Ovis aries: one gene and its partner. The protein of the gene in region 1 purifies or fractionates together with the protein of each later gene. This does not show direct contact. Links are inferred from orthologs where the notes say so. Each region holds a gene or a part of one and is shown on either strand. Other genes may lie near its edges.

What was found.
Region 2: the proteins of SH3PXD2A (region 1) and FGD1 purify together in Homo sapiens (affinity purification with mass spectrometry; 3 studies listed by BioGRID and IntAct, with this or other methods). This does not show direct contact. The link is inferred for Ovis aries from reciprocal best matches to the Homo sapiens genes SH3PXD2A and FGD1.

The regions. Positions count from the first base shown.
Region 1 is NC_056075.1:23,856,660-23,860,159, forward strand, and holds part of SH3PXD2A (SH3 and PX domain-containing protein 2A), read right to left. Parts: intron 1,853-3,500; coding exon 1-1,852. UniProt on the Homo sapiens protein: Adapter protein involved in invadopodia and podosome formation, extracellular matrix degradation and invasiveness of some cancer cells. Binds matrix metalloproteinases (ADAMs), NADPH oxidases (NOXs) and phosphoinositides.
Region 2 is NC_056080.1:52,484,052-52,487,551, forward strand, and holds part of FGD1 (FYVE, RhoGEF and PH domain-containing protein 1), read right to left. Parts: intron 2,064-3,500; coding exon 2,005-2,063; intron 1,872-2,004; coding exon 1,725-1,871; intron 1,325-1,724; coding exon 1,232-1,324; intron 1,059-1,231; coding exon 979-1,058; intron 1-978. UniProt on the Homo sapiens protein: Activates CDC42, a member of the Ras-like family of Rho- and Rac proteins, by exchanging bound GDP for free GTP. Plays a role in regulating the actin cytoskeleton and cell shape.

The sequences.
Region 1 (3,500 bases):
CCTGGAAGCCCGCAGTCTCGTCGTCCCCTTCATAGTCCGCGATCGAGACGTACACATCTTTGAGGTTGTTGTGGATGAACTGGGACTTCTCAATGGGCTTGGGGCGCACAGGGGACACGGGGATACCATTGCGCTGAGTGGGCAGCAGGGGGGGCTCCGAGCCCTGGCTGGCAGCACGTTCAGCCAGGCGGCCCTTGGCCTCTGCGGCTGCAGAGCGGGCGGCGCTGAAGGAGGAGTTCCGGCGGACGCCTCGGAGGCTGTCGGTGGCTGTGAGCGACTCGTTCCTCCTCAGGGCACAGGACAGGTTGCTGTCCTTGGGTGGCGGGGACACGAACACCGACTGGGGCCTGACAGCCACCTGCCGCACGCCGTTCCTCATCTTCACCGCCCCGGCGCCCGAGGTCTTGATGAAGCCCCCGGGCGGCTTGGAGGGGATGGGCGGCGTGGCCCTCTTGCTCTGGTTGACGGTGTTGAGCGCTTGGACGCGCTTCTCGATTTTTTCCAGGCTGTCTGACTTGCCCTCGTTCTGCTTGCTCTTGGGGGCCACTGTGTCCGTCTCTTTGCCAGGCGGGTCGGATGGCTCTTTCTCGCCGAGCACCAGATAGTGGGCGGGGGCCCAGCCCTCCAGCTCCCCAAACCTCACGTACCACCAGCCGCTTTCCAGCTTTTCAAGCACCTGTACCTCCACGCCCGCGGGGAAGCTGATCTCCGAGTCCTGGACCTTCTGGTAGGCACTGCATGTGGTGTAGGAGGTGGCCTGCCCTTCCCGCCCCTTCTTGGTGGGACAGGGGGGCGAGGCAGCAGGGAGGGTGATGAGGTCAGCCGAGCCTCTCCTGGACCCCTCGCTGGGACCCTCGAAGGCTGTCTGGGGGGGCAGCTCGGAATCCTCGCTCTTGGAGCCCTTGAGGCCGCCCCGGAGCTGGCCCGTGGGCCGCAGCTGGCGCCGTAAAGTGCTGATGTCCATCCTCTCTTGACTCTGGGACTCTGCGCGGTTCAGGAACGGCTTGGGCCGCACTGAAGGCTTGGCCCGGGCACATGAGGTCAGCCCAACCTTTGGGTCGGCATCCTTCTTCGCCCCGACCTTGGGAGTGCCACGGATGCCCGCGTCCGAGGCGGAACGGGGCTTCAGGTCCCCGCTGTTCTTGGACAAGGATGAGGAGGAGGAGGAGGAGGAGGAGGAGCAGGTGGTGTTGATGGTGATGGACGAGGAAAAGGAGGCCGAGGAGTGGTTCTTCCCCAGTTCTGCCTGGGCGTTCTTCTCTGCCTTGAGCTTCAGAAGCGAGGATGATTTGGGGGAGTCCGATTTGGGGGAATTTTTCCTGGCAAGGGACAGTGGGGAGCCCCCTGGGGAGTCGCTGTCTCGGGAGGAGCGTCTGGCTGACAGGCCGTCCTCTACACATGGCCGGAAGCCCTCGTTCTCGTAGATGGTCTCCTCCTCCAGGGCCACGTCCTCTGTGGATCCGCCCACCTTGAAGCGGGCGCGCTGCAGTGAGGAGGCGGGCGAGGGCCTGCGGGGCTGGGTGGGCCGCCTGTCTCCTGAGCCACTGTCCTCCGTGGGCTCTTCACTCAGCTCCGGCTCTGAGTCGAAGCCAAAGGCAGGGATGTCGTATTCGGGCTCCTCGTACTTGAGCCTCAGAGGGGAGTCCTGGCTCTCGTTGGGACCGGCTGGACCCTCGTCGGCCTCCTTGGGCTTGCTGGGTGGCGCTGGCGGGGGCACCTTGGGCCGTGTCAGAGTGCTCGTGCGGCGGCTCAGGTTGGGCTTCTTGCGCTTATCGATGTAGGACGCGGGGGCCCAGCCCTCCTTCTCACCAATCTGCACGTACCACCAGCCACCTGAGTTCTTGTCAATGACCTGGGGGAAGGGGCAGGCAGGCCAGTGAGGTGGGGGACTCGCTGGCGCCTGACCGTGTGTGGGCTAGGCCCTGACACTAGGCTCTAGAAGACAGTATCTCCACTTCCTGGACAAGCTAACACCACTAAGTGGCGCAGGACCCAACGAAGTGATGGGCTGGCATTCAAACCCAGGTCTCTGTCATCTCCAGGGTGGGGGATTCCCTTTCTCCAAAGCCCCCGCCCCTGTTCTTCCAAGTCTCCGTCAACACCCTGGTGGAGCTGGCCTCCTGCACAGACCCTCACTTCCCTTCCTGCTGAGCCGCTATGCTTAGAAGATGCCCTGTTCTCAGTCCCTACAAAACCCCACTAGCCAGGGACCCATCTGTACAGAAGATTGCCACTGGACCACTCCCATCCCCCAATCACCCATGCATTTCTGGCCCTCCCTTGGGGTCCCTGGAAAGGGTCTCTCAGGGCAGAAGAGAACAGGAGGGTGCAGGTGAGTGGAACTCAAAGGTAAAGCCTGAGACCAGATCTCCCTGGTTTCCCCACTGCACATGGTCATTTCACACTACTGAAATCCCACCACTGAGGAGATCTCTGAGTTGGTTTCCCATGGGAAGGTTGGGGCTCTCAGTCATTCCCACATGAGTATAAACTCACTCAAGAAGCTTGTTTCTAAACTGCTACTTGAGACTGGAGAAAGGCCAGGAGTGTGCTTGCCGGCTGTACCAAGGGCTTTCCATGTGTGCAGGCTCCGCATTCCAGGATACAGGGGCCAGCTGCACTCATTTTCTATAAGGGCACTGAGCATCCCAGGATCTGGGTCTTGGAACCAACCCCCCGTGGATCCCAAGGGACAACTGTAATTTTGAACTGTGGAACACTCCTGGAAGAAGGGTCCCAGGGAGAAGGAGGGAGGCTTGAGAGCACTGGCTGTAGGGGAAGAGGGGCAAGCGAGGAAGGAGGAGAGTGCTTCTGAGGCCAGCTCTCGGCAAACCCTGCCCTGCCTTGGGTCCTACATTTCATCCCTCGCTCTGCCCACTCCACACTCAAAATGCCTGCTTGTGTAGATCCTAAGAATGTCAATTCTCTTACACCATGAACTCTGTAGGCTCTTCTGGAAGCACAGGCACCACTGAGAGGATGATTTCTCTTGGAAATTTAGTTCTAAGTTCTAGGCATGTGATTTAAAACATCCACTTTGGGGATATCACCTCCTCAATAGGTAGAGACGGCCCAATTACTCTTCTGATGGTTTTACAGGAAGTATTGGATTTAACTCTATTACTACACAGAGCCACCCAAGAGAAATGGCTGAGTCACGGATCTTCTCTGGCCCCTGGAATGCCATGTGTAGGGCTGGCCACAGAGCGGGGTCTCAGAAATGCTAGGAGACGGGCTGGGAGGGAGCAGGAAAGGGCCTATGACCCATCTCTAGAGAGAACTCATCAAAACCTGGGGGAACAAATGCTAGAGGATGGACTGGGAGGGAGCAGGAAAGGGCCTACGACCCGTCTGCAGACAAAGCTCATTAACGCCTGGGGGAGAAGTGCCTAAATCAAAGCTCAGAGGTGCCTGTGGTGTGGACATGGTCAGAACTGGGGTCCTCAGTACCTTACTGTGGCTGCCTGCTCCACACTCTCCCAACAACAGCACTTCCTAAT
Region 2 (3,500 bases), on another chromosome or scaffold:
CACCAATTCCAGCTCTGCTTCTTTCTAGCTGTGGGATCTTGGGAAAGGTGTATAACTCTTCTGTGCCTCAGTTTCCTCATCTGTAAAATGGGGTTGATAGTAACAGAGGCTACTTCAAGGGTTTTGAGAGTTCAGCTATTAAATTTAAACTTAAGTTAAAATTAACTTAAAACTGTGCCTCTGGCACAAGAGCAAGTCTTCATTAAATGTGAACTATTATTATAATCATTCAAGTAGAGAATGGATATGAAGGCCCCTTTGTTAAATGGCTGGACATTATTTTAAAATTTGTTCTGTAAAGATTTTTTATTATGAAAAATTTCAAGCATACAGAAAAGTAGATAGGAAAACACAAGTACATTAAATATATATTCACTACATAGATGCAAATTTAAAAAATATTTTGCTATATCTTATACATATGTGTGTGTGTATATATATATATATATATATATATATATATATAGGCTGATATAAATCATTTAAAAATAAGTTACAGATATCATGATACTAAATCATCATCATGCATCACCAAAAAAAAAAGGCCATTCCCCTATATCCTCATATACCATTATCATACCTGAGAAAGTTAGCAATAATGCCCTGGTAGCTAATGCCCAGTTCATGTTTAGGATTTTCCCTACTGTCTTGAAAATGTCTCTTAGGGCTGTTTTTCTCAAATAAGACTCCTATCATGGACCAGGCACTGCATTTGGTTGTTATTTCTCTTAAGTCTCTGAATCCACAATAAACTATTTGTGCTACTGTTACTCATGTTTGGATTACTATCTCATTCTTCCCTCTCCTCTAACAAAACCCATCAGAAGAGCAAGCGTCTTTGGGGAAAGGGACCCATCCTTTCTCTGGAATACTCTCTCCTCTAGGGAGTAGCCAGTCCCCTGGCACAAGGTCTAGAATGCCTCAGCATATCTGAAGGCAACAGGAGGCTGGAAAGAAGATATAGGCAAGGGCAAGTACCTGGCCTGGAGCTCCAGGGAGCGCTGCTTTCCTGACACCAGGAAGGTCCGAGGCAGATTGAGGTTGGAACTTTCCTTCAGCTGAATGGAGAGAGAAAAGGGCTTGGTGAACTACTGAGCTCACCTACTGAGCTCCACAGGGCCCTCGCCCTCTGCACACATGCACACACTTGGGGGTCAGAGTCAGAACATCTTTGTTCCTCCCAGCACCAAGGTCCCACTCCAGGTCCCCCTTCCCACCTCCTGGTGCTCACCTCCATGCCATCTACATCAATGCGTGCCCGCACGCTAAACTTCTGGCCAAGGAGCCGCAGCCTGGGCACACAGTAAAGGAGGCGGTCGTTGAACTAGGAAGGAAAAGGTTTTGGATGTATGTGTGGAGGCCCCACAAGGGCTATGGCTCAGCTCCCTTCCCTTATAGGACTCCTGAAGCTTTACTGCTGGGGACTCAAAGCAATAGATAGAAAAAACAGACCAGATTGGGCACAAAGGTTGCAAGGAAAGAGCCTAGGCATGGGAGTCACTTCCTAGTTGGGTGGCCTTGGGCAAGTCAGTTCTCTCTAAGTCTTAGTTACATAATCTGTAAAGTTGAGAAAAAAATGCCCAGTATAGGTAGTACAAATGCAATGCATTAGTAGAGGAAGGAATGGAGAGCAGGAAGTACAGCCTTGAGTGAGTACCGGGTCAATGTGGCATGGCGGGGTGGGGGTGGTGTGGCCCACTTGCACCCCTACCCCTGGCACTTACTAGTATGAGGTATCGGTCTTGAGTGGTCCCATTCTTTGCTGACAGCTTAAGGATGTGGCCTTCTTTTATGAGCTCTTTGGTGGGGCTGACAATGTCTTCCTCACCTCCTAGCAACTCGTACACCTTCAGCAGCTTGTGCATTCGCTCCTGGTAGTGAGTAAAAGGCAAGGTTTGAGGTTCCGGCCTCCCCTCAGATGTCCACAGGTTGCAAGCCTCCCACTCCCCAGGATGGAGATAGGTGGCTGGCCAAGGAAAGGCAGGGGCTAGAGGGGCCACTCACCATTTTGCGGATGGCAGCATTAGAGTGCTCTGCTGCTGTGGCTATCAGCTCCAGAGACTCTGTAGACAGAGTGGGAGGTCAGATAGGGGCTAGCAGAAAAAAGGCTTTGGGAGCTTCTCTGCTCCCTGAATACCTCCTCCTGGTCTGGCCACACCCTCCCCATTCCAGAAAGTGCCAGCCTCAAAGATGTCCATAGCAACATCACTTAAAATCAGAAAATGACTCGATTAATGCCACAGTAGTAGCAGAACCACAGGACATGAAATAGCTGGCAGCCAATAAAATGCAAGCTTAAGATTATTATTACCACTAACAAAATAACAGTAATAGTTACACCTGTAACTGGAAGGACATATACTCATGTTTAACAAATTGTCTCAGGAGCTTCTCTGATGGCTCAGTGGTAAAGAATCTGCCTGCCAATGCAGGGTTTTATGGGTTTGATCCCTGTTCTGAGAAGATCTCATGTCATAGGACAACTAAGTCCGTGTGCCATACTATGGAGCTTGTGCTCTAGAGCGGTTAGCTGCAACTACTAAAGCCCGCGCACCTAGAGCTCATGCTATGTATGCAACAAGAAAAGCCACTGTAACTAGAAGCCTGAGCACTGTAGCTAGAGAGTAGCTCCTGTTCACCACTAGAGAAAGCCCTCCTGCAGCAAGGAAGACGCACTGCAGCCAAAAATAAATAATTTTTTTAAAAAAGTTGTCTCTGCAGCAAAAGAGACACAGATGTATAGAACAGTCTTTCGGACTCTGTGGGAGAAGACGAGGGTGGGATGATTTGAGAGAATAACATTAAAACATGTATATTATCATATGTGAAACAGATCTCCAGTCCAGGTTCAATGCATGAGACGGGCTGCTCAGGGCTGGTGCACTGGGATGACCCGGAGGGATGGGATGGGGAGGGAGGTGGGAGGGGGGTTCAGGATAGGGAACACATGTACACCCATGGCTGATTCATGTCAATGTATGGCACAAACCACTACAATATTGTAAAGTAATTAGCCTCCAATTAAAATAAATTTGAAAAAAAGTTGTCTCTAGATGATGGGACTATGGGTGATTTCACTGTCTTCTTTTTCCAATTTTTTGACAAAGAATACGTATTACCTTTTATAATCAGAAAACAAGTCATATAAAGAAACAGAGACAGTTCTATTCTTTGCCTCAATAATTCTGATGATAGGAATCTATGCTAAGAAAATACGTGTTCTGTGTACAAATACACTTTTGTTGCAGTGGTGTTTACAATAATGTCAAACCAGAAATAATACAACTGTAGGGGTTCAGTTAAAGAGAGTAATGTGCATTCATATAACACAATACTAAACAACCTTTGCAAATGATGCTTTTGTAGGATTTTTCATGATCTGTGAAATTCTCAGGATATTTTAGGAAAAGGAAAGGATACAAACTTGTGTATATGACATGATTTCAATGCCACAAATATATGTGTATAAAAAATACCAGTAAGAAATTATGTCAAAGTGT